Linked DNA regions of Drosophila melanogaster. The protein of the gene in region 3 purifies or fractionates together with the protein of the main gene of each other region. This does not show direct contact. Each region holds a gene or a part of one and is shown on either strand. Other genes may lie near its edges. The genes, in order: lin-52, mip120 and mip130.

Region 1 (9,078 bases), 3.8 Mb from region 3:
GAGCCGCGCAGCAAGGACCAGTTCACCAGCACGATGGAAGAGTTCTACCAGGCGATACGCGACTCCAAGGGTGCCGTATTCATGGCTGTTTGTCGCGGCAAAGTCTCCGAAGGTCTGGACTTTGCTGATCGCAATGGCCGCGCGGTGATTATTACTGGTCTGCCATTCCCACCGCTAAAGGATCCCAAGGTGATACTGAAACGTCGCTACCTGGAGGCGAATCGGACTCGTGAGAATCAGCTGTTAAGTGGGCAGGAATGGTACAATCTAGATGCCACGAGGGCAGTCAATCAAGCCATCGGTCGTGTGATTCGGCATCGCAACGATTATGGTGCCATTCTGCTTTGCGACTCGCGATTTAAGGACGCCTCACAGGTCCAGCAGCTATCCAAATGGATTCGGGGTCACCTGGGCGACCGGCCACAGTGCTCACCCTTTGGTCCTATCGTCCGGGAACTGCGTCAGTTCTTTAAGAACGCCGAAGCGAATGTAAGCTCATGATGTTTATGCGTTTTTCAGCAATTGTAATACAATTCTTTCAAAACTTCAGATGAAACTACCGGATGAAAGGGAAACCGATTCGCCTTTGGAAACCGTCTGCAAGACAGAGGATGAACCACTAGCCGCCATTCCAAAAGTGAAACGGGAGCCTGGCTCCAATGCCACCTTCAAATCAGCCAATGAATCCGCAATGTACGTAACCTGCGATCTAAGATCAACCTTATCAGCTGTATAGATTGTATTACAATTATTAATAGCAAATCCTTAATCGGATTTAAGTAGTCTTGAGTACAATTTTTGAGATTTGTCATAGCTAAAGTGAAATGCTGTAAGCCATTTCCAGTGGCCTTTTGTCATCACTGCCAGGGTAAATAAACTTTCGTTTGCCTTTCTCCTGGTATTGACACTTTGAAATATTTATTATTTTTCTTTGTAGCAAAGTGGAGATGGCCAATTCCATCAAGACATGGACACCCGCCGATTATGCGAGTGCCGCTGGACATAAATTGGGTGGTGCGGCGCCGAATGCCATGGACTTTATGAGTCGACTGGACTCAAATGTCTCGGTAAACACGAGATTCCCATGAATCTATTATTACACTGTGTTTATTTAGTTCTTTAGGACTTGTTCTTGTTTTGCCCCTTTCCCAGAGTATCGATTTCAACTGCTGCACAGATAGTAAAAGTGGCTCCTCTGGTCTGGTGAAGATTCACAAGCGGGAGCGAAGCTCACCAACGGCGCCGGAATCCTCCAGCCAGGTGACCAAAAAGCGATACAAGTTGGTGGAGAACATCAAGGTGGAGCCAAGTAGTTCGCAGGCTAAGGAGGCACCCGAGGAAAGGGCCGCGTTTCTCCGGGAGGTGAGATACCTTCGAGACTTCTTCCATACTACTACTACTACTACTAATTAATTTACCTTGAATTGCAGCTACGCAGCCTGGTCACCCAAGATCAATTCCGCCGCTTTGGCAAGGCGCTGCTGGAGTACAAGAATGGCACCTATGAGAGCTTTCAGGCCCTGATGGCCATACTCCTGGATGTCCTGTCCGCACCCAAAGTGCGCTACATGCTCGTCGGGATGCGGAAGTATCTAAAGAACGAGCACAAGGACGAGTTTGATCGTAGGGTGGGCAATCTTTAACAAAGGGTTAGGTGACTATGTAAAAGAGTTTTCAAGTTTAGTCGTCCCAAGGATATGTTATTTTTTTTTTTTCAAATTTATTGACATTGGCTGTAATTTTCTGATTGTATTTAGTGGGGCGCGTCTAATTCTCCTAAGAATATATATTATTAACAATGCTATGCATTGTTGTACATGCATTTTGAATTTCTCTGTACGGATGTTTATTACTATTAAAAATTATACGTTAATCATGATATTGTTTATAGCTTTGTGGGAAAATGTGGGGTCATATTAAATGCAAATGCAGTTACTCAAAACCGTTTGCATTATGTGCATTATGTTTTCCCAATCTGTTTATTTATTTACCGCTCAAGGTTGACTTAAATCAACAGTCTACCTTTATTGGAAATTTAATACCACTTTTATGTGCATCAAACTTCGATTTCGTTTGCTGATAAGCTGATGAGCTTTAATAAGCTTTCAATCAAATCAAAGGCGAATAGAACAGGGTGCTCGAAAACTCTTCAAATCTTACATATCGTATTTAAATATGAACTCAATTTGTATAATAATATATATATATGTACAATATATGTTTATTTTATATATTTTTAAGCATGATAAATAGATAAGATATCATAGGAAATTGACTAATGCTAAGACTTTTAAGTTCTTGTCTTAAAAACATAAAATTACTTTTTTGTAGACTGCTTACATATATGTTTTTCACATTTATTTTTTAATCTACCGCTTGGGGGGCATACATTTTAGAGTTGGCAGCCCGCTTGGTAACAAATCTGCGAACCGCAGCCAGCGCAGAACGCATCCAATAAGTTCATTGCCAAACGGGCCGAGTCCCTATATGCACATCCACACATGCCCATCGGCTGGCGCGACCGAGTCACCGAGAAAACTGAGCCCGAGTGCAACGAGAATGCGGGTCCGAGTGGCTCCGACTTCGGACTTGGGAAGGCACTCGCGTGGCAACAATCGTCCAGGGCGCACGGCAAACACGCAGAGCTGCCGGAGGAGATAGGCCGCTGCTTCTTGGGGGCCACATTCGTACCCCGATCCAAATCCAGACCCGCTGATCCATCCGCCTCATAAATACACACATAATTTCTGCCGCTTTGATTGGGGCACGCAGTAAGTTGATTGCAATTGCAATTGCCATAGCCTTTGACTTGCTGCACGTTCGCTCTTCGCTGCTCGCTATTTGCAACAAGTAATAATGAGGGCGGGCAGGGGGTGGCTGGGTGTTTGGCCAACGCAGCGACCTTGGCCTGGTTTAGGCACTTGCCTTAAATGCATTTTGTCGTCATTGCAGCGCACATGGTGGAGGAGATTGGCTGCCAGAGACAGACGGGCATTGTGGTCGCCATGCCCAGCCAGGTGGCATCCAACACCGGAACTCCAGCCCCATCCGCCGGCGGCATTCACCAGCAGCATCAGCAGCAGCAACACCAGCAGCACCAGCAGCAGCAACACCAGCAGCAGCAGCACCAGCAACACCAGCAGCAACAGCAGCAGCAACACCAACATCAGCAGCAGCAACAGCAACACCTTCAGCAGCAGCAACACCACCAGCTGCAGCAGCAACAGCAGCAGCAGCAGCATCAACAACTCGCCAGCAACATGAGCCTGCTGACCGTCAAAGGCGGCCGTTACCTTTGGACCGACCGGGAGCTGTTGATGCACCTCCAGAACTACACTCCCCTGATCCTTCTCATCGATTTCGTGGAGAAGACCCGAACCAAGCGCTTCTATGAGAGCTCCGAGCGCTATGAGATACTCATGCTGGTCTTCATCATGCGCAAGGGAGCGCCGTTTTGTGAGAACAAGCGCTTTCCAGCGGAGTACTGGGTTAATCTATCGGTGGGACCAATTGCCGAGGCGTTTGACCGTCTGCAGGCGGCCATCGATATACCGGATCCCCAGCTGCCGATCCACATGAGCGTTACAGATTTGACCAGCTGGAAGCAAATGTTCGACCTGGCCATGCTGGATATACGGCGTTTTGCGTACTACACCGATCCCTTGCAGCTGGCCGATGCGGGCGTCTTTAACCGGATCACCTTTGAGCAGCGATTCGGAATGCAGTGGCAGGAGTAATGGGAATTGATGCACGTTACTGGATATATATTCACGGGAAACAGCATGTAAGCACACCATCAGCACCAACACACTTTCCCAAATTGGGATGGATCGTGGGGAAGGCTACTGCATAAATCCGAACGAAAGCATTTAGTTAAGTATTAATAGGACGCACTAGAGCGCAACCGATCCATCCAATCCCACATAGACAGAGTTATTTGTTGCGTTAATGTCCCTGCATAGCGAAATCTACTGTGCCTTCTCCAAAAACTCCAGATCCTTCTGCATTCCTTTCCCTCCAATCCGTCAACTTCATCTCTCCTCCGACTCCTCAAATGTATCTGTAATACAAGCGACGTGTAGGACCCAAAATGCTTTAATGGAAATAAACGTTAGTTACTGTTCAAACGCCTGCCTATTTATCTTTGTAAAATAGCGATAAATCATTCACAACACGCATTACTCACTATAAAAATAGCACTATGTACACTATGAAACTACACCTATGTTCCTAATGCGAATTCAACGAGATCCTCGACAGTCCCATTCTTAGGGATCGGATCATCCAGCCTCATGGCTGCCGCTTAGGAGCGCGATCCCGGTCAAAGATGCCCAGCAGTTTCCCACGAGTCATCTCCATTGCCTCACGCAGTCCCAGCTGGTAAATTTCATCATGCATTGACTTTATTTTATCGATCAGATCCTCGGGAGGGAGCTGGGCTAGTTCTGGAATAGAAAAGTAGGTAATGGATATGCTATTCTTTAATATACTATTCTTAAATCTCATTGACTTTGCAGCTACTTACCATTAATCTTAACCATATCATCATCGGTCAGATTGCTGGTGTAGTTGGTGCTGCGCGTGTACATCGGCGTGTCGCTCATGGAGAGGAACTCGTCCATTCCGGGAACTGGAGCAATCGAAAATAAAGATATGCGTTAAAAATGGCGCCAATTTCTTCGTGCTCACGTTTTCTACACTTACAACGCTCTGGCCATTGGACAGGTGAGGGTCGCAGAGTTTCCATGGAGATGAGCTCGTCTTCCGGCGTTATGGGCCGCTCCTTGACCTCCGGGACATCCTTTTCGGCCAATAACGTACTACTGCTGGACGCTGAAGCCTTCTCCACTTCCTCGTCCGCCGCTTTTAGAATGGTTTCTGCAAGAAAACCTCGTTTTATGGCGCCTTTCATGTGATTTAAATATTTACTCACCTGTAGAAAGCAAATCCGTAGTTGTCTCTGCGTTGCTCATCGCGGATAATGTTGAAAAACTCCAAAAACTATTGAAAATAAACACGGAAAGATGCCAAAAAATCCGTGGGCTAATCACTTGCCACCTCGTTAAACAAAAACTATAGCGTTGCCACTTTCAACAATCACTATCGAATACTATCGATTTACCGCCAAGCCAGTGCTAGAAAGCACCAGGAAGTATAAAACAACTGATATTTTTGGTAAACAAAGAACTGTTGTTATTGCTTTTCCTGGTTTTATTAATAGAAGTTAAAAATAAATGGCACAACAATTAGGAAATGAGCGTGCCTCGACTTATACTAAATTCAGAGTGGAGAGCAGGCGTCGTAGCAGAGAAACGCGAACCTCTCCGCGACCTCTATCGTGCTCTCTTTTCCACTCACGGTCGTTTAACGGCGCATAGAGACAACTCTGCGCTAGGTCGCCTGCTCTCGTTCGCTCTGGCGCGCAAACGGCACTTGGCACACTTCGCACAGTGGCGCCAAAAAATATGTGCCCGTAAAAAGCACATGTGCTGCGCAGTAGTTGTCCAGAACAACACAACACGGATGTCTAACCAGTTATTGAAATAAACTTATTCAAGAACATCTTAATAATAATATAAAATCTTAAGGAATAACAATATCTTATCAAGTTTTTATCAATTGGCGCCGCCGCCTGGTAGCACTGTTCGCATACGCAGACTTTTGGCCACCACTGTTTTCCCATGCGCCCTCGCACTTTCTTTCGGTTTTTCATTCGCTGCTCCGCTCTCACTCAGTCAACAAGCACTCATACACACGCGCTCACCTGTTCCGCCGCCCCGCTACCCCGTCTCTCGACATTACTGCGACCGCTCCCGTTCCGTTTCATTATTTTTTTTGTCGCTGTCATTCAGTTGCCGTTTTAACTTCGCCGCGCGAGAAGCGGAAACTTTTGCCAGTCCGCTCGAGGAAAATAGAAAAATACTGCAGTGCTGCTGCAGTCGTGCAGCTCGTACATTTCGTTTCGTTTCGTTTGGCGCCAATTTCAAAGCGCAAATCCGCTGGCGGATTGAATTGCACCAAAGTTGTTCTTGGATCTCTACGTTTGCATCCATCCATCTAACCAAGCAACCGGCTACCACCCCTCCACTCCTGACAGTGACCCCTCGCTGACCCTCCATCCCCCCCTCCGCTCGACGACTCTCATGGCAGCTAGCAAATTCCATTGCGGCAAGCAATTGACAGCCACACATTCACATTTCGATGCGACATGTGCGAAAATCAGGGCCTTTTACTTTGACCTGGACAACACGTTGATTCCCACCAGAGCCGGCGATTCCAAGGCGATCAGAAAGGTGAGCTTTGTTAACCAAGCCAAGGCAGACAGCCTCACTGCCCCCTCTGCCAATCACCAATCCGTTGGCGTTTCTTCCGTTTCTTTTCCATGTAGTGTTTGTGGGGGGGCGGGGCGGGGGAGGTGAAAGTGCGCAGCAGGCGGGCGACCCAGCTAGAAAATTTTCCACTGCAGCCCGCCCGTTGTTACGTAGTCGAAAAAACCCGGACGCTCGGCAGATAGCACGCGCCCGAAATTTCGATTGTTTATTTGCGTTCCGATTGATTTCCTTTCCCTTCCCTTCACATCCCCCAGCCACAAAAAAAAAAAAAACAAAAAAGAAAAACTCAGAGTGCACTCGACAAGGTCTTAACTTAAATATAACCACGGGTACATGCACTTTAGAAGGCTAAAACCCACTAAATAATCGGCATTACGTTGGAAATTCGGAATCTTCGGTTTTCGAAATGTTAAAAGGCACTTTACAGGATCTTATCGTGGTGCGCATTATCGATTGCAAACGATTGCAAAAAGGTCGGAAATCGAGGAACTTGCACTTAACAAAAGTTGAACGAAACGTCATACCAACAAACTTTGGAAACCCGCGTCAATGGTTTCTTTTGAAATATAACCTTCTTATAAAGTGAATGGCACACAAAGAAGCTAAAGGTTAATTGATGATAATAGGTAGCACTTCGCAATATGTACTTGTTTGAACGTTCAGAGGCCATTGACTTTATTTATTACAATAAATGAGTCTATTTGCGATCTTAAAAGGTTAAAGTTTTTAGAATTTTCCCTTCAAGAGAGAAAGGTATAAATAGGTATTCTTGAAAATGTGTTCAATGTCACGTACATTTACTCACTCTTGCATTCCAGATTATATCGTTATCTTTTAAGCTGCGCCAATTTAGATAGTTAACTTCATTATCACGTTCATGTTTCAATACGCTCAATGTTTGAAGACCCCAAATAAGACGGTTTCTTTATTCAGTTGCTTTCAATTCTTAGCGAGCGAAGCCACGCCCATTTATATTTCGGAACTCATGACAGTTTTTGTGACTAATCGCAATGATTTCAACTTAAATTCCTAGCATTCAAAATGACTTTTGTGAGCTTAGCTTCCTGATTTGAGTACGATTCAATAGATGCGGATGGTTGGGCCGGAAAATAGATAGCGAGTGGAAATTTCCAAGCTATCATTGCGATCATAAAATATAGTATATTCTCATATATTACTCATGCTGCAAGTGTACCGGCGGCAATTGCAGTTTGATGTTCAATCCCCTGATAGTACGGCGATGCTATAACAATTTTGGAATTAATCAATTGGCTTCGGATTCGATCGAATGATTGGATTGGTCAATCTGACGCTTAATTGAGAACTTTATGGACGTAATAGTTTTGATTTACGTTCTACCGCGTTTCGCAAAAGATTATGCACGTATTGAGGCTTCTAATCGCTTTTATTAATATTAACTCTACTTTCAGGTTGTTCACTTCTTATTGCGTGAAAGTTCTTAACTTATCTCGTCTTTAATTCGTCATAGCGTATTTATAGTTTTATCGCGGTTGAGGTTTTTACGGCACTATCACATCTACGCAATTTTGTATATTTTTGAATTTATGTAACGCAATAATAATGCGAATTGCCAACCCTTTTCCAATTTCGTTCTTAGCTCGCTGATTTTCTGGAGACCCAATACCAGTTCAGCAAAGATGACGCAACACAGGCCACCCAAAACTTTCTAAAGGCCTTCCGCCGCTGTCCCGATAACTCGCAAACATCGCTGGACTCGTGGCGCACTCACCTGTGGCGCGAATCCCTTCCAGCGCGCCACAAGCACCTGGCGGAACAGATCTATCCCAAGTGGCTGAAGTTGCGGTATCGCTACCTAGCCGTTCCGGCGGACTATGTCCAGCTGCTGCTGCGGATGCGCCAGGCAGGCTATGCCCTGGCCCTCATCACCAACGGACCGTCGAACGCTCAGTGGGAGAAGGTGGCTGAGCTGAATGTGCGCGGCTACTTTGACTGCGTGCTGGTCTCATCGGATCTGCCATGGGAGAAACCGCATCCGGAGATCTTCTATGCCGCCTGCAACTTTCTCAATGTCAAGCCGCAGGAGTGCGTCATGATCGGCGACAAACTGGAGACCGACATCAAGGTGAGTTGTGGCTACTCATAAATGTGCTCACTAGCAACTGATCTATTTCGCTTTTAGGGCGGTCACTTGGCCCAGCTGGGTCTCACATTCTGGACGCCACTAAGCAATAGCAGCGCGGCGGCACAATCGCTAGAGGATGTGGAGTACAAGCCGCACGTCAAGCTGGGCAGCCTGCTGGAGATGTACAAGTACTTTCCGCGCCTCAACTCAGTCGCTCTGCCCGAGATGCCGTCGGTTTCCAGAAGACGTGGCAGCCACATGAGTCCCATTAGCCAGGGCTCCGGCAGCGGAAGCAGCTCCAGCGCCATTTGTGTGCCGGGTGCTGGCCATGGATACCATCACCACCACCACCAGCAGCACCAGGAGCAGCAGCAGCAGCATCATCATCATCATCATCAGAGGCAGTGGCTTTATCGACGAGGCGTTTCACTGCCCGCCATGGATTGCTCCAATAGCGAGGCGGAGAACAGCTGCGACAGTTTTCTGTAGGCAGTGCGGAGGATGTGTTGAGTATCGAATGAATCGATACGAATGACGAGAGATTGTTGAAAAATGTACCTTCAGTTTACAAAACTATAGCTAAAGAGGATTGAGGATTGATGATCGTAGAACGGGAGTAATATTCACGGATGGATCACGAAG
Region 2 (11,098 bases), on a different chromosome or scaffold from region 3:
GAAGCCCAGAACCATGTCACATGCATTTGCCGCCGCCGTCTGCCGGTCCACCGCATCCATGTCATTGGCCCTGCGCTGCAGCCGGCGCGCCATGAGCTCTGCCAGAATGCTGCGTATGGCGGGTGCCACTGCCACCTCCACGGCCTGCAAGGATTGGCAGAGAAACGGACTACTTGCTGCGCCCAGAACCGGCAACATGCAGCAGTACCTGCGCGAGTACGCCAACGAGAAGAAGGTGTTCGAGCGAACCAAGCCCCATTGCAATGTGGGCACCATTGGCCATGTGGATCACGGCAAGACCACGCTCACGGCGGCCATTACCAAGGTCCTGGCCGACAAGCAGCTGGCCGAGAGCAAGAAGTACAATGAAATCGACAATGCGCCCGAGGAGAAGGCTCGTGGTATTACCATCAATGTAGCCCACGTGGAGTACCAGACGGAGACGCGTCACTACGGCCACACAGATTGTCCGGGACATGCCGATTATATTAAGAACATGATCACCGGCACAGCCCAGATGGATGGCGCCATTCTCGTTGTGGCCGCCACCGATGGCGCCATGCCCCAAACTCGCGAGCATATGCTGCTAGCCAAGCAGATCGGCATTGATCACATCGTGGTGTTCATCAACAAGGTGGACGCCGCCGATGAGGAGATGGTCGACCTGGTGGAGATGGAGATCCGAGAGCTGCTTACCGAGATGGGCTATGATGGTGACAAGATCCCTGTGGTAAAGGGCTCGGCGCTGTGCGCCCTCGAGGACAAGAGTCCCGAGATCGGCAAGGAGGCGATCCTGAAACTGCTCCAGGAGGTGGATAGCTTCATCCCCACGCCTGTGCGCGAGCTGGACAAGCCCTTCCTGCTGCCTGTTGAGAATGTGTATTCGATTCCCGGACGCGGCACCGTCGTCACTGGTCGCCTGGAGCGCGGAGTGGTCAAGAAGGGCATGGAGTGCGAGTTCGTGGGCTATAACAAGGTGCTGAAGTCGACGGTGACGGGCGTGGAGATGTTCCACCAGATTCTGGAGGAGGCGCAAGCCGGTGATCAGCTGGGAGCTCTGGTGCGCGGCGTTAAGCGAGATGACATCAAGCGCGGCATGGTCATGTGCAAGCCGGGCAGTGTGAAGGCACTCGATCAGCTGGAGGCCCAGGTGTACATCCTGTCCAAGGATGAAGGCGGTCGCACAAAGCCCTTCATGTCCTTCATCCAACTGCAGATGTTCTCCCGCACCTGGGACTGTGCCGTGCAGGTGCAGATTCCCGATAAGGAGATGGTCATGCCCGGCGAAGACACCAAGCTCATTCTGCGCCTCATCCGGCCAATGGTCCTGGAGCAGGGACAACGCTTCACGCTGCGTGACGGAAACCTGACCCTGGGCACTGGTGTCGTCACCAGCACTCTGCCCCCATTGACTGAATCGCAGCGATCCGAGTTGACGGAGGGCAAGAAGGCGCGCGAGAAGAAGGTGGCGGCTAAGAAGTAGATCCCCGGAACGCCGTCAGTCATTAACTAAAATCATATTCTTAAGCGATTTTTATGCATATTGTATAAGTTGTTGGCGCTCCAATCACAATCGAGTAAAATATAAACAAACACCTATGGACAACGAAGTTTTAAAACTTGGAATATTAGTAGGGATCTTAAAATTGATTTAAAATAGTACGGCTTTTAAGTATTACTGTTGTTGCCTGACATTTCGGCATTTCAAAGGACTATTTGTTATATAAAGTTATGTAAGTAAGCATTGATCATTGATAAAGGGCAATATTTAATTTAGGCGCCACTCATCGATTGCTTATCGCTCTATGTTAACGGCATCCGAAATAGAGTGGTATCGAAATGGAGCCGATAAAATCAAACAAGGCCGATAATAACCTGACTACGACATTTTACAACACTGCTGCAACCGCCTTGAACGCAGCTGATGATAAAGAACATTTTGAAATTGATTTGAAAATTGGCAAAAATGAGTACCTACCGCGTAGACTACTTGACCGGTAGATTCAAGCACCGTAAACGTTTGTTTGCAAAGTAATTAATAACTTATTTTGTCCGCAGATTCCCTAGACGACACGGAACCATTGCCGGAGCTGAGTTTTGAAGACTTTTTGGAGCCAACGTCGGAGAAGAGTTCCCAGCACATGGAAATCGAAGCTCTGGACTCAGAGGAAGACAATATCGGCGGTGAAGATCTGGCCGATCCGGCCAACGATTCCCTGAACACGCCGCAGTTTAAGAAGAACGTGGTCCACATACTGGAGGACAAGAGGTTAAACTCGTCCGGACTAACCGTTTTGAAGTCGCACGCCATTAAGATGGTGACTGCCGGAGGTACTCCTCCGGCCAAGGCGCAAGTTACAGACGTAAAGATACTAAACAAATTGAAACCAATACCCAGCAGTACGCTAAAGATCGGTAGCACGACCATAGCGACCAAATCCACACCGGGCAGCATAACCAAGACTTTGGGCAACTTGACCCAGATTAGGACGAAAGATGGCCAAGTCATCTTTGTCCAGAAGTCTGTTCCTGGAACACAAAGCAGCACTGCGGTGACAGGGTCACCAAGCGGTGGAATAAGACGCCTCGTGGCGCCTTCTGGTATCCAGAAGGCAGTGCTTTCTAAGGGCGTGACCATGGCAAGCACGGGTCTGGTCAAGGCGGCTGTTCCTGCCAAAGCAAGCACCTCGGTACCCGGCTCAGCCATAACCTTAAAGGGCATCCAACCGCTGGCCGGAGGCACTGCGAAGGCGTCGACTTCCAGCACGACGGCAACCACATCCCCATCTTTGGCACAGCCCAACAAAATTCAGGTGGTGCGCACTGCCGATGGCAAAATTATCAAGATCAATCAGGCTGGTCCCTCACTGCTGGTGAACGCCAAACAGGGAACTGGGACCACAGTCACACCAGGAGGTTCTGCCGCCACTTCTGTCAAACTATCTCCCTCCACGGGAAATGTGGTGCTCAACAAGCCCGTTGGCCAGGTAGTGGTGAGAACAGAAACTCCTGTAAAAACGGCGACGGGCTCCGTTGCCAGTGCATCCGCAACACCGGGCAAGATGTTGGTTCAAAGTGGCGGCAAACAGATTCTTGTATCCAACAAGAACATCATTAAGCTGTCGCCGAATGCGAGTGCCACCAGTTCGACAACCCACACGACGGGCGGACAGACACCTTCCACCTCGAGCGGATTGCACGCTATTCAGCTGCCTGGCAAGGGAGGAATACAATATGTACGTGTCCTGAACAACAATAAGAGTGCCGCCGGAACAAGTGCAACAGCCTCAATCCCGAAAACAGTGCAAACTCAGAAGATCACTGTGGTGCGGCCACCGGCTGCTACTGGTGTTCCTGCCACATCTACTACAACATCCGCAGCAGCAGCTTCACCTGCAGCCGCATCGAAGGCAAACCTTGCCATGGGCAACACTAACAAGATTGTAATGCGATCAATGGGTGGCAGCATTGTGCCGCTGCCTTCCGTGCAGACGTTGGTCTCAAAGGTTGGTACTTGTGTTGGTACAAATTTATTTCATTCTAACTCAATTTCCATCTTTAAAGCGTGCGCTGGGCGCCATCTCCAACGCTTCAAAACCAGCCAGTGCGGCGAGCAGCAGCGCCACGCCGAGTGCCAGCCAGGAGTTGCCACGCAAACACCGTCTTACTGATCTCAATGTGCAGCTAAAGCAATCGGCCTCGGTCAGCAGTGAAGCTAGCGACAGCAGCGATGCGGGTCCTGAGGCCAAAAAGCCGCGTTACGTTATTACCATGCAGCAAGGATCACAGAAGGCAGCTTCCCAGCCAGTTCAGAAACTAATTAATCGGACAGCGAATGTACAGCGTGTGGTGTCTAGCAGTACAAGTCCCAGTTCCAACTCCACAAAGAAAATCTACAACTATGTTCAACCGACTGGAAGCAATGGGGCCAAGTACATGATCTGTAACTCGGGTGTGCCCCAATCATCGACGAGTGCCATGCGACGGGGATACACTGGATATGTGGAAAACAAGACGCGACGCCCGCCACCCATTTCCCCGCAACAGCACCGCTTTAAGCAGATGGGTCCCCAGCAGCAGTCCAAGCACCAGCAACTTCAAGCGCAGGCCAAGCAACGGATTAGACAGCAGCAACTGCCTACCGAACAATCGACGCCGATCAAGGTCGAGCCAAAGTTGCCGACACTGCCTCCGGGGGTGAAGGCCAATGTACCTGCCAAGCCGCTCTTTGAAGTCCTAAAACCTCCAGCAACCGCGGCAGCAGCCGGAGCCGTCGATCCATTGGGCGGCATGACTTCGCGGCGAAAGCACTGCAACTGCAGCAAGTCGCAGTGTCTAAAGCTTTACTGCGATTGCTTTGCAAACGGCGAGTTTTGTCAGGACTGCACCTGCAAGGATTGCTTTAACAATCTGGACTACGAAGTGGAGCGGGAGCGTGCTATTCGCAGCTGCCTCGATCGTAACCCCAGCGCCTTTAAGTAAGTTTATTTGAAAGGAAAAGCTTATGAGGTCTATCCTATGTTTCTAAAGATGCTAATCACAACTACTTTTTTTTTTTTTAAACAGACCCAAAATTACGGCACCCAATTCAGGTGATATGCGTCTGCATAACAAAGGTTGCAACTGCAAAAGATCGGGCTGCCTCAAGAACTATTGTGAGTGCTATGAGGCAAAGATTCCCTGCTCCAGCATATGTAAATGCGTTGGTAAGTGAACTGATAAATCTGTTTTATCTATGATCAAACTAACTGAATCAATCAACTTATTATTTAGGGTGTCGAAACATGGAAGACCGTCCGGACGTGGACATGGACTCTCTGGACGGATTGATGGGTGTCGAGGGTCAGAAAAAGGACAAAGCTAAAAACAAGCAATTGAACGAGAATCGCGCAAATATATATTTTACGGACGATGTCATTGAGGCGACCATCATGTGCATGATATCGCGGATTGTGATGCACGAGAAACAGAATGTGGCCGTGGAGGACATGGAGCGCGAGGTTATGGAGGAAATGGGCGAAAGTCTGACACAGATCATCGCTTTTGCCAAGGAAAAGCAAGAAACCTCTCAGATAGACGAGTCCAAGCCTTCTTCTTAGGCATGCAAATATAGTCACACATTAATTAGTTTATAAGTTCAAAGAGTTCTTGACCTTTTCTCAATCATATTCTAATTTTGGCTTTCTAAAAGTTGACCTTAAAGTAAAGTGTTTACCCTATTTAAATAATTTAAACACAAAATGTATATATCATACATAGCAAATTTCAGATATAAGGCTATTTTAATTTTTGGCCGAGCATTGTAATTGTGTTGTAAACTTTTCCCTTGGATTGAATGTAAATAATTTAGATACCTAATAAAGTTTAATGACCATTGAACACAAATGAAAAGAGACGTTGTGTTGTTTTGTAGCTTGTTTATTCACCAACAACTTCAGTTACATATTTGTATTTTGCATTTGCATTGTTTCAAATTTATTGATGGGCGAGTATATTAAACTCAACGCAATTTAGTTTGGTTTTTCACAATATCGGTATCAGCTTAGTTAGCAATATCTCTATAAAATAAACACATGTCGAATGACTACAGTATAGGTAATGCATATATTAGTTGATTGTATTGATAGTAGGTATTTAGTTTTGTATATATGTAGTTTTTTTTGTTTAAGTATAGTTATATATTCTACTTGGTCACCATTGGTATGTATAAATAGCATATAAGTATGTTTGTGTTCTGGTTTCTCCCGGTTCTCACCCTATAAACATGGCATGGCATGACATGAGTACATATGTGTGTATGTATGTAGTTTCAAGGTTTGAGTAAAAATGTGATAATCGTTTAAGGACTATAGTACATATACGTGGTTAGTAATGCTAATATATATATATATATATATGCCCTGTTATACATATTTTTCATACACTGTTTTGACTAATATGCTCGCGCTAAACTATACGTTTTATTTGCGGTCATTCGAATACGAACTTTTTCGAAGAGAGAGTATGTGTGTGCGATTATCTTAAATAGCAAATACATACAGTAAACGTTGAGTATATCGATTTAAGGATAGTTTTGAATATTTGAATACTGTGCACAAAACGCTTTGGTTAGTTGCATTAGCATTGTTTGTTTGTTTGACCCCATACCAGCTTTTTTTTCTTGTGAATTGTTAGTTACGTAACACTTATGCAACATTTGAACATAGTTAGGCAACAATAACGATTTGATTACGCATAATATATATGTATTTGTATTGAGAGTATGCTGAACTATTCAGTTAGAAGCTATATTGTCTAATTCACACGTTTATATTGAATGCTGGGCCCCCAGAAGGGGAGCTAAAGCATAAACTTACACAACAACTTTATGAAAACCGAACAAAACCATTTGCTAAATATCGTATATGTACGTTGGATTTGCATACCCTGTACAATGTCTTTTTCTTAGGTTGTCGTAATATTGTATATGCAATCATTGAAGAGTACCTTAATTGTTAAACGCGTGTTGCATGATTGAATTCGGCAATTCTTCAAAGCGTGAAAAGTCATAACGAACACAGCGTAGAATTTATGGATATTAGTTGAGTAATTCATCTTTCACAACAATAGAACAACGATGATAATCAGCAAGTATTTCAGCTATTCGTATATACAGTTTGTCAATATAACCTCATTGTATACCTGCGATTAACTACATTTTGTCGGCTTTCTTTAAACTTTTTCGACCATTACAGAGCTATAGTTTACTTTACACTACTTTCGATTAGAATTGCTGGGACTATATGCGTTCAAAATAATGATTTTCATTGCCCAAATGAAGAGGAGCATTAGTTTTAAAGAGGATTTTACGTGGTGATCACAACGCTTAAGGACACTTGCAGCCATTCAAGTGCCTTGCGGCAATATCCTTACGATCCAATACGATCTGGTTAAGTGACGAAATAATGTCGGTAATATTTATGGGCTAAGATCCGAAACTTTGGGTGGGAAGAATTGAAGTTATAATCAGTGGGTACTAGTCTAAATTTTGTAGAACACCCAATTTAGCGACTTTATTCCTCACTAGATAATTGCAAACTAAAATACAACTTAAGACTTCTATTCAAAATTGTGAACGCTTATAGACCCTGTATATATTTTTAGATTCTATGGAATGGTGTTTATATTCCACGTACCATTTGGCACCAAAAGCCTATCAAATATTCCCTTTTTTTGTCAGATAACTTGTGTGTGTGCTAATGTGGGCAACAATTTTACAAGATTCAATGATTATATATATATATACTTTATTTAACTTTAACAACTTGAAATATGAAATTGATTTACTTAAGGAAGGTGGGCTTCCGTTGTGGAGTAGTGCCCATTAATTCCGTCCAATTTCTACGCCGTATTGCCAAAAAGTTTTAATGGATTTCAGTAGCGAGAATCATATAGACAGAACCGAAAACCAAAGTTACCTGGGTTTTCGGTTCTAGACCTATGAAAAAAAAATTTATTTATTTGGACTCATTTGAATATATTCTAAAAAATAAAATCCAATTTATATGATTGGCACGCTAATTTCGAACTCGCATACCTTGGAAAACTCAAAATTATCAGCCCCAAATGAATCGTATATCGAGTGAGTTGCTGTTCCAGGTTCAAAGCACTGTCAAAACTAATTCCCAGGGCCTTCTTTTGTCCCAGATCCTTCGCGTCGCCAGGCGAGTGACGTCTTCATTGGTGACCCCTTCAAAATTCACTCATACAACTTTCGCTATGCCGACAAGCCATTTTATCCGGTCCAGAACTATCAAAGACCTCCGGCGGCACCGACTCCGCCGGCACTGGTGAAGAAGGCCTCCTTCCAGACCTTCTACCACAATCCCAGATTCAGCCAGGATCCCGAGTACATTCCGGCAAAAAAGAGTCCACAAACTAGCTCCTATAGGCGTCGCCTTTTGCTGGAATCTATGGATATGCCCTTGGGATCTACGGTGACAACGCCGGAGAGACAGAGTGTACCGGTGGCTCCGCAGACGAAGCGTTCTCCCACAGCCACGGATTCGCCGCTCCTCAGGACATGCTGTCAAAGTGTGCGCTACGAGGCTATGAGACGGGGTCCAAGCAACACGACTTTGTGCCAGAGTACCACGAATCTCATACGATCAGCTGGCGGCGGTGTGCCTTCTACTTCAACCACCACCTTCTCCATGGACTCCAACGCCCATCTGCAGAACAGAAGAAGCGGCTGCGGTATCAGCATCGACATCTGCAGTGTGGGTTCGCAATCTGAGGTGGACAACAATGTGAGCATCCAGATCGCAACGGATGCCTATCTGCTGAACAATACGGACAAGGTGAGGACCAAGTCCAAACCGGTGCGCTGTACGCCCAGATCCAGCGGCACCTTTGGCATCGACAAGCGACTGTCCAAGTTCAATGTGAGCGAGACGAAACCTCGGACGAGTCCGGAATGGGAGCTCCGGCAGAGAGAGAAGGCACGAGAAGCGGAGCGCCAACAAAAACGGGAGCGGGATCGACAGTTGTTGGAGGACCGACGCTTGGAGCAGGAGAGGGAACTTCAGGAGGAGCGAGAGCGTGCCCGCCAGCGGGAGCGAGATCGTGAGCAGCTCCGCCAGTTGGAGCGCATGCGAGATGAGGAGCGACTCCTAGAGTTGGAAGTGGAGCGCGAGAGGCAGCGATTGCGGGAACTAGAGCGGGAAAACCAGCGGCACAGAGAATACGAGCGGCTGTGTGCCCTCCAGGAGCAGGCGCGTCGGGAGCAAATGGATCTACTGTGCCAAGAGAACATACCTCCCCGACCGTCAGTTCCAATGACCTCGCACTTGTACACAACCACCTCTGATGATCGTTTGCCCGGAATGGCCTTTTGTGATCTATCGTCCCGAAGGTCACGTCGATTGGAGAATCCGACCAGACCGAAAGAAAGACGGAAGACTAGAGTATGTCAGGATCCTAGAAGTGTCTCGTCCGCTACCCGTTCACTTACTCCCCCGCCGATCCTTACCCGGAATAGCAGCTCCCCATCACCCTCTTCAGAAGCGCCGTCTTCTACACCCACCTCCCGTTCCTCATCTCCAAATCGCAGGTCAAACCGCTGCTTCAGTTCAACACCTAATCCCGATTCCCAACGATTCCCTCCTACAATTCCAAGAGATCTAGTTCGCAGTAGTTCGGGAACTTCGAATGGCAATGTCCATGTCACAGTGACCACCACCGGGCGACGGAGCAACTGCAGCATGAGGCGTTCATCCAATGACCGGGCTAGTGAGCAAAAGCAGCTAAATGGAAACCAAACCTGCGTCGCCTGTCTGAATAATATGCCCATTAGGATAACCACATCTCGGTCCAGGGATACGGATCTAGCCTTCAGTCTGAACCATGTGAGGATGAGGGGATCATCACCAGCGCCCACGGAAAGGAGCAGCAGTCAGGAAAGCCAAGATTCCTGTCAGGTTAACATCAGCGTGTATGCGGATAAACTGCGTTTGATGCGTTTATAATAATATAAGGGAAAAGTGGGGGATTATATGTGTGATTTTTGGAACAGATCATCTCTAGAATATAGAGCTAAGCTGTTCCAGAAGACGCTCATATACTCCCCTAACTTTTCTATATTAGAATAGCGCCAAAATTAGTTGTATCATTGCTGTTTTTTTGACTTTTAAATGTTCTTAACTAAGCTAAATCCGAAAATTATATTCCAAACTATAGTTTCTATATGTTCCTCGCTTCTTGGGATTCCTCCATTAAATCATTGCAATTGCGGGCGTCTGCTTGTTGGATCGGCAATTAATCCTTCCCTGCTGGGAGTAGAGTCTTCCAAAGAAGGACTCTCACAAGCTCATTAAGCTCTTCGTACAGTCACATCATGCTATATCTGTACTTAAAAAAAAAATACATTTTGAGATAGTTTCCAAACCTTTTGGCCACTAAATTGCCTCCAATATGTAGTAGGGTTCTTAGGATCCTTACTTATTTTTATTTCTTTCTACCCGTCTCATCGAACTTCTGGCTCATCACAGAGCCCTGCTTTCACTCAACTTTCTCTTTCTTTATCTTCACAAATTTGTGTGCTCTACTTTAACATGTGCAAAGTTTTTGGGGGAGGTTACTTCTTGATATGGTATAATACTATAGTGCAACTTGGGTAAAACATTGAACAAGAATAACGATTTGGATTGGATTTTCATATGATATTACTGATATTGTTGGTTGTGGTTACGGTTACTCTCTGATCTTTTCTTTTTTTTCTTGATTTTATTACCCGTTTTTTTTTTTTTTGATTTTTGGTTGCACTTTTGGCAACATTGCGTTGTAGTTAAATCGTTTGCTTATTCGTCTTCCTCGTAGTTTTGATAGGTTACATAACGTACCTGAGCCCGATCGCGTCCATAGATCAAAGACTGCAATCACAGAAATGAAATGGAAAAGGGTATGGGTTAGTCTAATGCATTTCCTAGAATGATTTTGTATCGTGCAAAATGAAACTCAGGCAGCGCTTTAAATAAAAATTAATAGTTTTATTACAAACAAATTAAGCTGAACTTAGGGCTAAAAACAATGATAATGACTAAGTATACGAAAAATAATAATAAATTAAAATTAAGCAATGTATCGAGACTCAAAGCCTCTCGCTCTCGTACGCCTCGTTCGTCCTGCCCGCCTCGGCATCCGAATCGGGAACAGATGCACCATGCATGATGGCCGGGCAGGATGCGGTCATCTGGGGTATTCCAGAGAATTCCCCTGAAGCGGCAGCAGCGGCTGCAGCAGCCTCAGCCGCCTCTCTGGCCATACGTACCTTCTTCTCGTCGCTGGTCGGCGGATTCTTGAGCAGCGTCAGCAATGGAGCATACATAAAGCAGAGTATGGCAATTCCAAACAACATCCACTCGAAGCCGATGCTCTTCACCAGCGATCCAGATAAGGCGGGACCCACGGCGAAGCCAACACAGAAGGCCACATCACCCAGGGCGTAAACGCTGCCGTAGACCGCCGAGTGTCGGATGTCCACCAGATAGCCCAGTTCCGGCATCATCGACGAGTCCACCATTCCAATGGCAAAGCCAAGTCCTGCATTCGGGATGATCAG
Region 3 (10,069 bases):
CTCGTGCGGCTCTACTGCCTTTTGCAGGCTCTCCACCTTGGCCTGTACTTTCTTCTCGACAATCTCAGTTTTCTCCTTGAACTTCTGCACCAGCCCGTGTTTGTCTTTGTCCTTCAGGATCTTCTCCACATCTACGGCCTTGTTCTTCACCTTGTTGAAGAAGTCACCGATCTTCTTGCTAGCATCCAAATGCATCGATTTGCCATCTTTGGGATTCTGCAGGTGGACACCAAGTGATTCCAAGGTAGCTGGTGTCATCTGTGCGTATTCCTCGCTATGCAATTCGAAGATCAGTCCCTCGATGTCAAAGAAAAGTATGTGGCTCTCCGCGTCCTTAGGATTAGTACGAAGACCCTGGATCACTAAAGGATTGCTGCGGTGTTTCATCAGAAAGTCGAAGTTTCCTTGGTTATGACCCTGAAGTTGCTGGAGTTGCGTAATCCCGCGCTGGGTAGCATGACGGATTGCATTCATGTTGCGCGACTTCAGGCCACGGAAGAAGTGCACTGCCGGATTGGCCATACCCATCTCGCTGGCAGATGCACCATTGGAACCACCGCCGCCGCCCGAGCCGCCATCCTCCGCCTGTTCATCGCAAGCGGAAAGGACTTCCTCTGCCAGCATCCCGTGAAGCACTCGATCGAGGTGACCCGTTTCCATTTGCCACACATACACGCTGCCATCGGAACAGCCTACGATTAGAAAGTCGTCCAGGGGACGCCATTTAATGGTAACCACAGGGAATAGATGTCTGCTTGCCAGGGTCACACACTTGCGCTCCTGAAGGGACACTAGCGTAACGGAATGGTCCGAGGCCACCGAACATATGCATTTCAGGATTCTTGGACTACAGCTCTCTGGCGGCACCAGCAGTTGTGTGATCTCACCCGCATGAACGCAAAACCTATGCAGTAAGCTTCCGCTGTACAGATCCCACAGACACACGGCGAAATCGATGCCGCCGGAAAGTAGATGCGACTTCTCATATCTCGAGTGAATCATCGAGGGGCAGAGCAGGCAATTGACCCTTCCACGATGACCGTAGAGGATCTGATGCGAGGGCCAATCGCTGAAGTTTTGCTTGATGCCCACCAGCAGCTGCATCATCACTGTCTGGGTGGCTGGCACTATGACTATGCTGCCATCCTCGCGTCCGATCACCAGGCGACTCTGCTGTGGCAGATAGATGCTCGAGGTGAGCTTCACCGGCGATTCTGTGATGCGGGAGAGCTGATCCAGGATGCCCACTGGTGGTGGATCCATTATGGACCACGCCTCGACCAACGAAGTGCACACGTGCGGCTTGAGGGGTCGCGGCGGCATCTGTTTGGCCTGCAGTATGCTAATATTGTCTAACGGCACCTCCGGCACATTCCAGACAGAGATGTATCCCTCGGAGTCTCCGCGCAGTAGATTGTGCTGGCCACCGGCGCCCTGAAGCAACTTCATGGCTGGGGGGCACGACAGCACCTTATCACCGGCGTGTTGCAACACGTAGTAGAGGTAAGGTGCATCCCTGACCACACTCTTCGAGTGGAACTCCTTGTTGTCGGGAATGCAGTTTGCGGGCAGCTTGTACAAGTAGCCCTTTCCCTCATCTGTCCATAGCATTACCCGGTCGGAGGTGATGAAGTCGCCGCCCTGCCAACGTTCCCTTGCGGGAGCAATTACGGAGCAGAGTACAGTGAAGTCGCCGGCATCGTAGATCTGCCAGTATTTGGTACAAACTAAGAGCACTGTGCGCTGGTTCTGGGCGCAGCAATTCATGGTGATGGCATTCAGGCAGCGGATCTCCTTGGATTCGTTCTCGTAAATGGGCTCCGCGTGTTTGTTCTCGTTACCCGTCAGAGTCCAGACCTTCACGGTTCCGGTGGTGGTGATGGCCAACACTACGTCATCCTTGCGACGCATGGGGCGCAGTACGTGAATAGCGGATATCCAATCCGGTTTGACCTTTGAGCTGAGCACGTAGATCACCTCTAGGCTGAACGGATCCATGACCATGATTTCAGCATAGTAGCCAATGCAAAAGAGGCGCACATCCTCGCTGTTGGCGGTGTGGTAGCTCTGAATTTGGGTGTGCACCTGTGGAAGCTTGACCGCCTCCATGCACTTGCCGTCCGTAAGATCCCAGGTGCACATCTCTCCGTTCTCAGACGAGCTGACCAGGAAGTTGTTCTCCGGCAGAAGCGAGGCACGCACTAAGCACAAAACGGGCGCCGAATGGCCCACCAAGAGGCACCGCGGCGACATCTTCAGGGTGGTGGGCTCCACTTGCCAAAGGCAGATCTGTCCATCGTAGCAGCCGGTGACCAGGGTAAACTGATCGTCCGAGAGGAACACGCTAGAGATGCAGTGCGTGGGCGCGGTGGGACCCCACAGCACCACGGGTACCACCAGATTGGTACTCACCATGGTGGTGCGCTTTACCCAATCTGTGCGGTGGCTCTCCTTCTTCTCCTCCTCCGCCGGCTTCCTTCTGCTCCCTGCTCGTGTCGCTGGTAATCGTTGCTTTGCTGCGACTGCGGGCTCTGCAAGAATAGTTATTGAGTAAACATTTGCTCACTTCCACCTAGTGGATGCGAATTATTTATGGTGGCCCCTGTGTGTGTATGAACTCCAGTTGTGGTCGGCTTTGAGTGCGTGGATGGTGCAGTGAAAGCTGCTAGTCAGTGACTCACCCAAGGTCCTTCGAATTCTGTGATTTCTCATCATCATTTTATTCAACCTGCTTTCCTAGCAGCTAATAGTGCTCTACAACCCACAGCTGTACGATGTAAATTGAAAACTGAATTTATATGGCGTTCTTAATGGAAAAGATGAATGGCAAAAGGGGTAATGTTGCCTAACGTTTTATAAACAAGCTCAGTTTCTCATTTCCTGTTGAATGTTTAAACAGACTTCGGGAATAAGCGAAATCGAACTAAGCAAAGTTTACATTTACAGCTTATGCAATTTGTAAACAATATAAGAACAATTAAAGGAACAAAGTGCAGCCACATTGTCGAGACTTTTCATATGCTTAACTGACGATTTTTGGGCCACTTACAGGAGAAGCATAACAAATTGGGTTGTAAATTCAAAAGTATTTATAGAGATCCATCTTAAATCTTTACCTAGAGTATGTGATAAGATAAGAACTTCCTATTTTTATGGATAGATTATTTGGTATAGCTACAGTCTTGGGTCTTGCGAGCTGGTTCTCTGGTCTGATAGTGATTTCTGTGTGTTATAGTTGTATCAATCAGGAATATGACTTTATCGTGTTAGAGAGTTCTTCACAGGGCTTTCCCCTCCTAGCTTGCAGGTGAATTTGTCAGTCGGAGTGACCTGCAAAGCTCTTCAGATAAGACCGCATTACAGGGGACACTCGTTCCAGCACACGCCACCTTATCGGCACATGTGTCCAACTTGGCCAGCCTCCACTGTACTCCACTCCACCTCGGATTGTCCAAAGATAAACAAGGGTTATACAATACATATGTGCGGCAAAAGCAGAGACTCAATCCGCGGATATATATCGGGTTTCGTGCGGAGCTGGGTATATGGGAGGGCGCCTGATGTCGCCAATTGAAAGATCAATTAATTGGCCGACTATTTGGCATCGCAATTTGAGCGGATTTTGCTTCTGCTATCGCACACAAACACACACACCCTCACACCTGGACACGCACACAGGGACAAGCCATAATAATTGTAGATAACTGGGCATTTATCTAACATTTTTCAGCAGTTTTCCGTATTGGGCTGGCTGCCGCGCGTGATTCCTCCGCTATGGATTCCGATTCCGATGCCAATTCCAATTCCAATTCCGAATCCGAGTTCGATTCCGAGTCAGCCTGCTCTCGATATGGAGAACTTAATGATGGTCCGCTACTGGTGGTGACGCTGCTTATTGATCCTGGTCGACGGACATCGCGGTGGCGGAGCAGCGGACTTCAATGTCGATTTCGATTCGATTTGATTCTAATTTATGGACACGGGACGGGCGAAACGCACACCACCCCCCGAGCACACCAACACACCAACACCTTTCCGCTGTACAGATTGCTTACAACACACACACGTTGCGTTGCTGTTGCTACTTTGTTATTGCTTTTGCTCGCCACTTTTGCGAACTGCTCATATTTGTTGCACACACTTTCCGCTGGAACATGCACTCCACGGGATCAAAACACTGCACTGTACTTTCGATTTACTTAGCTATTTCCTTTTTTTTTACACGAGTGTGAAAAAAAAGCAACGAAAATCGACCGTGGAGTAAAATTTTTCGATAGATTTGCGTGAGCGGATAGGGTTGCAACCGCAGCTCCGGACGCTCTTCTATCGATGCCATGCGAGGGGCGACAGCCCTGACCAAAAAATTTAATATTTTTCTTTAATTGTTTATAAATATGCAAACAACTGGGTGGAAACACGATTTCCAGATCCCAAATGGCACACGCTTATATCTACGGTCAACGGGATGGTTTCAATGTGGTTTCTGGTCAGCCAGAGGCAATCCCGCATGTATAGACCCACAATGTTGTTACTTTTCGCCCAACGGACAATTAAGCATACGCGATTGCATTTAAACGATCGCCTTACGCGGAGTACAAAAGGCACACGGGCCGTGATGCAGTTACTCCGCGAGGTTATAGTCGACCCTCTTTCTGAGTTTTTTTTACGCGGAGAATGATTCAAAACCGAAACACATCGCTGCCCATCGCCAGAACTGCAATTCGCAGTCGGAAGCGTAACAAAGGCTGCGGATTTCTTGGTCAGCTCATCCGGAGGATGTCCGGGTGTGAAACGGGTGCAGAGGGCAGTTACTTACCATAGGGTACAGTTGCTTCTATTGGAGGCGGTCGTTTCGCTGAATATTTTGAATTTAAATCACTTTTTACCCGTACGAACACACACTTTTGAATGGCCACAAAAAAAACTGGTATGTGCTGCCAACTCGACGCGAATAAAAGTATAAAGGAACGTGTGCCGCGCAAAGCAGTGACAAACAATCGGTATATTTGTCATCACAAACTTTTTGAATTCTTAAAGAAATTGCCATTTAATTTTTCCAACCCGACTTTAATATTGCCGCGCTGATTTTACGGCTATTCTGAGCTGTTGTATTCCTTTAACAAGCAATGACCACCATGCAAATTCGATCTGACCACCCTTTCGATAGTTATTCGATCAGCAACAGCTGATTGCACCCTACGGAATGACATATCCTATTGCTAGGGATTTTGTTGGGTAAAATTAACGTACTTCAGAATTGGCGGAGAATACAGTGTTTGCTAGCCTATAGTGTTTGGTTGTTACCTTAAAAAAGCTCTTTGGCTTGTGTTCTTTCCCCCGTTTGCTACTCTAAGCGCTCTATAAAAAAACACTCACCGAACGGAATTAGTAGGGCATTCGGCGGTCGATGCCACCGCCGAATCAGCCCTTGTTGTGATTTTGCGTCAACGTAGCCGCATTTGACTTCCACACATCCCACATCCACGCTGGCTATGGAACACTGACCATGCCCATAATTGAATTAGCGGCCCTGATTGATTGACTGTCCCACGATGCAGCAAAAACCCCGAAACAACGGCTATCCGGGCACCCTCATCTGCGCGGTCCTCCTCGTCCTGCTGTCCACCGGTGTCAGCGGCCAGAAGCAGTATTCCAAGGCAAGAAAGTTGGAACTGAGGTGGGTCATTGCTAGGGCTAAACTCGGACATACTAATCCTAACCGGCAATGAATCTGCAGGGAGGATGTGCGGCGCATGTTCCAGCACGCCTACGATGGTTACCTGCGCCACGCCTCCAACTACGATGAACTGCGTCCGCTGACCTGCGATGGCCACGACACCTGGGGCAGCTACTCCTTGACACTGATCGACGCTCTGGACACGCTGGCCACCATGGGCAACTTCACGGAATTCCGCCGCGCGGCAAGACTGCTCGAGGAGAAGATGGATTTTGACAGGGACATCAACGTGTCCGTGTTCGAGACAAACATCCGCATCGTGGGCGGGCTGCTGTCCGCGCATCTGCTCTCCAAGCGTGCTGGCGTAGAGCTAGAGCCAGGATGGCCCTGCAAGGGACCTCTGCTGCGACTGGCGGAGGATGTGGCCCGACGATTATTGCCAGCCTTCGTCACGAACACGGGTATGCCTTATGGCACGGTGAACCTGCGCTATGGCGTGCCCAAGGGCGAGACCTCTATAACCTGTACGGCGGGCGTGGGGACATTCCTCATCGAATTTGGTACCCTTAGCCGGTTGACCGGGAAAACCATCTACGAGGATGTTGCTATGAAGGCGGTACATGCTCTATGGGCATATCGCTCGCCCATTGGACTTTTTGGCAATCACATCGACGTGCAGAGCGGTCGTTGGACCGCCCTCGACTCTGGTATCGGAGCAGGAGTGGATTCCCTTTTTGAATACCTAGTTAAGGCATCTGTCCTGCTCAATCGCCCAGAACTCTTGGAGTTATTCCATGAGGCTCGCGCGGCCATTGATAAGTACATGCGGAAGGAGGACTGGTACGTGTGGGTAGGCATGAACAAAGGCCGCGTCACCCTTCCCGTCTTTCAGTCCCTGGAGGCGTTTTGGCCCGGCATCCTGAGCATTATTGGCGACACGGAGCCGGCCTTGCGCACCATATCACGGTACATTGGGGTCTGGAAGAAGTACGGCTTTCTGCCAGAGTTTTATAACATTGCTGCTGGAGAGGCATCGCCGAATCGGGAGGTGTACCCCCTGCGACCGGAGCTAATCGAGTCAGCTATGTATCTCTATCGAGCCACAGGAAACGAGTATCTTCTGGAGTTTGGTGAGCACATGCTGGAGACCTTGGAGTTCAGTGCCAAAACCAAATGCGGATATGCAACGGTGAGAAGTTCTGTGAACAAGCTTTTTAAGAACTTAAAATTAATTAATATATACTTGCATTATTTTCCAGATTCGCAATGTTGTCACCCACGAAAAGGAGAATCGCATGGAGTCATTCTTCCTGGCGGAAACAAGCAAGTACCTTTATCTGCTGTTTGACGAGGAAAACTTCCTGCACAACGATGGGTCCGGAGGCGAGCTGCTGTCAACCGAGGATGATGTATGCGTGGTACAGGCCGGTGCGTACATCTTCAACACAGAGGCTCATCCCATGGACATGTCAGCCCTCCACTGTTGCCACGCCCACAACGAGGACATCTACACCTCTCTGGATCTACAGCGGTTTAGTCCACGGGCGATATTAGAGAGGAGCAAAAAGCGGCAGGTAGCTGTTCAGGAACAGTGGGTGCCGCAGTGTCACCCAGAGAACAACGAGTTCTTTAATAAAGAGGATGAGAGTGTGCAGGCGCAGGACTCTGAAAAAGAGCAGGAACGCGAGCAATCCGGCACAAGCACTACCATGGCCGTAGATATTGAGGTGTTCGACGAATTTCAACAGCCCGCCGGCGATCTGTTAGTAAGCAACTTCGAGCAGATACGCGAGGAGCGGGAGCTAAACGAGAGCCTGCACAGAAACGTGGTGGCACGAAACCAGTTGACAGTCAGCGATTTGGATGAATTCTTTGCTCAGCGACGGGAGAGTTTCGCAAGCGCCTCCGAGGCTCTTAACTATGTAAAGACCTTCATGGGCAACTATACCATGGATGTAGCCTTTATACGGGGCTTGCAACTGTACGATACTAATATGAGTAGTGTATTGGGCACAGGCGCCCAGAAAGAGTATGAGTCTCGAATGAGGACCCTTTGGCAGCTGTACGAACTGCAGCAGCAATATGTGGCCAACATCCGAGTGATTCAAGGATTAGGTTTGCTAACCTTTCCGGCGGACGGTGACCGGATACCTAGCCATTTGACAGAGGTGTTGGACAGCCTGGATAAGTCGGCTCACTTGGAGCATATGGATCTACAAGATCTCGAAACAAGAGTGTCCAATACCTCCTCGCCCCAGTTGGCTCATATAAGAGAAGTTATTCTAAAAGCACGTAATGCCTATGCCATAGCCATGGTCAATACTTCGGCCATGCAGGAATTTGCTATCCGAATCTACCTCAGTGGCACTTCGGAGGCCGGTGTTCGCATTCACCCACTTTTGGAAGACGGAGAACTAAGTGAGGAAGCACGTAAAAGGCCATTAAAGTTGGCGGAGGAGCGAGCCCTCTTCAGCTACGCCCGTCGAATAGTGGACTTTCGGAAACGAATGGCGGAGACAGTTGATCGATTGCAGACGCTCATGCAGGACATTCCGCCACCCAAAAGGAAAGAGGCCACTACCGACTCTCAGGCCGCAGATGCGTCCACAGTCTACACTCAAACCAAAGCCCAGATGGCGGCGCCTGCACAGCAGCCGGAGCCGAGCCAGGAAGAGAAGCAGTCGACACAAATTCAAAAAGGAAAGCTTGCCGAAAACGGCTCCGGATTGGGTGAAGAGGAGTCCGGCTGCGTGTGGTCGCAGTTGGTGCAGACCATCCTTCGGAAGACCACGGTGCAGCGGGTCAAATTTGACGAGGCCGTGCTCCAGGAAAATACGCGCAAGGCACTGGAGAAGTACGCCCGCAAGGAGTTACCCCACCATCTGTTCGCCTGCCACCGGCCGGAGTACATTGAGGGATTCGCCTATCGGGACTTTTATCCGGAAGCGCTGTAAGCTCGCAATCACCTCACCGACCAACACGACTGATCTGTAGATAGATATGTATGTATTTAGTTACTTAGGGGTATTCGCTCTGGTGACTGGGCAACCACATAGATAAGTCTCACGCAGATTTTATTCCCAACTGCTCTATTTCCGATGGCGATTGAAAAGTGGGCTGTTGGGCCCTTTTATTAACTTATTTTTGCAAAATTAAAAGACGTTTTTTCTGGTAACGATTTCGAACGATCATGGTATATTTTTTTTTTTTTAGCAAAGTTCGGCGTCGATGCGCGCATGACAATGAGCGACTCAATTGCAGAGCGAAAAGGACAGAGCGCTAAGCCAAAGCGGCAAGCGCGAAAGTACAAGATGAAGACAGCGCGAGAGGAGGGGAACTTAGATAACGAAAGAGAACCATCACCTCTAACGGTTTTCTGATATGTTGCCGATCATGATATTTGCAGTGCTGTACTTTGTACTTTTCTATCGTTTAAATTGTAAGCTATGTACATATATGTACGTACATATGTATGCAATTACCAAACCATTTCCAGGAATTTCAACTTCTTGTACAATCATGTTTACCAGCGATTTTTTAAAGCTCAGTTAAGATATGATAATAGAACTTCCAAAAATATGTATAGCTAAAGAACCTTAAGTGGTCCTACTTGTGCCGACAATTAATTTAATTAGCATATGAACCCGCAACTCTTGAGGTTTTCTCAATACCTTACCAAGGCTTAAACAAATTTATATCTGTAATAATAATGGTTCGAGTGCTTGTGTGCGTGTAAACTATTTGCGATGACTGTTGTTGGCTGTATTGTAATTAAATTGATTTATTTCCGTATTTATGTATTCAATTAGATTCGATTAGGCTAAAATTTACGACGAATCGAGAGAGTTGCACAACCCGAAGCAAATGTTGAGAATCGCGGCGGCCAAGTGCCGGATGTGGTGGCCACCTGCTCCTCTGCCTCTAGATAATTTTGTGGCTGCGATTGTTTGGACACGCAAAGGCAATCGCTCGAATGGGTTTATTTTCGGATATTGCTGTTTACTTCAGGGATTTGGGTTTTGGGCTTGTACTAAATTACGCCAACGACATGAATGGAGCCAGCCCTTGGGTGCTGGAAGCAGTGATGCGAAGGTATAGTAAGCTCCTATTGTTTACAATGTAGTAGTTAGCCTTAAAATAGGCGAGATAAGTTCCAGTTCCAACCAATCGATGACTTTCGCCTTCGGTACACTTGGTTATACTTCAACCAATTCCAATCTTGAATATAACCAGTGATCCGTCTCATCACTGGCTGACGTCCTTTTACTTTCTCTTGAGCCAATCGCATACATCGCGGACAGCCCACAGCACCTGCTGGGGAAATTCGCCCGACAGGCGCCTCTGACGTTGGTGAAACTGTGATTGTGGGTCACACCACTGCCATCGACACCC

What was found.
Region 1: the proteins of mip130 (region 3) and lin-52 purify together in Drosophila melanogaster (affinity purification with western blotting; 2 studies listed by BioGRID, with this or other methods). This does not show direct contact.
Region 2: the proteins of mip130 (region 3) and mip120 purify together in Drosophila melanogaster (affinity purification with western blotting; 2 studies listed by BioGRID). This does not show direct contact.

The regions. Positions count from the first base shown.
Region 1 is NC_004354.4:5,749,912-5,758,989, forward strand, and holds lin-52 (lin-52), read right to left. Parts: upstream 5,048-9,078; 5' UTR 4,974-5,047; coding exon 4,934-4,973; intron 4,879-4,933; coding exon 4,705-4,878; intron 4,631-4,704; coding exon 4,526-4,630; intron 4,446-4,525; coding exon 4,291-4,445; 3' UTR 3,738-4,290; downstream 1-3,737. Other genes in the region: Rtel1 (regulator of telomere elongation helicase 1), read left to right, coding at 1-489, 551-693, 938-1,067, 1,153-1,362, 1,431-1,643; CG15772 (uncharacterized protein), read left to right, coding at 2,958-3,737; CG15771 (uncharacterized protein), read left to right, coding at 6,144-6,293, 7,951-8,436, 8,494-8,925.
Region 2 is NT_033778.4:13,507,731-13,518,828, forward strand, and holds mip120 (Myb-interacting protein 120), read left to right. Parts: upstream 1-1,887; 5' UTR 1,888-1,966; coding exon 1,967-1,997; intron 1,998-2,058; coding exon 2,059-3,506; intron 3,507-3,564; coding exon 3,565-4,478; intron 4,479-4,566; coding exon 4,567-4,706; intron 4,707-4,773; coding exon 4,774-5,099; 3' UTR 5,100-5,382; downstream 5,383-11,098. Other genes in the region: mEFTu1 (mitochondrial translation elongation factor Tu 1), read left to right, coding at 14-1,483; CG13330 (uncharacterized protein), read left to right, coding at 7,606-7,621, 7,687-9,506; Vmat (vesicular monoamine transporter), read right to left, coding at 10,628-11,098. UniProt on the Drosophila melanogaster protein: Component of the DREAM complex, a multiprotein complex that can both act as a transcription activator or repressor depending on the context. In follicle cells, the complex plays a central role in the site-specific DNA replication at the chorion loci.
Region 3 is NC_004354.4:1,903,103-1,913,171, reverse strand, and holds the start of mip130 (Myb-interacting protein 130), read right to left. Parts: upstream 4,934-10,069; 5' UTR 4,820-4,933; coding exon 4,817-4,819; exon of another isoform or gene 4,345-4,816; intron 4,253-4,344; exon of another isoform or gene 3,722-4,252; intron 2,532-3,721; exon of another isoform or gene 2,416-2,531; coding exon of another isoform or gene 1-2,415. Other genes in the region: Rbcn-3B (Rabconnectin-3B), read right to left, coding at 1-2,415; Edem1 (ER degradation enhancer, mannosidase alpha-like 1), read left to right, coding at 5,553-5,677, 5,738-6,866, 6,937-8,627, 8,891-8,960.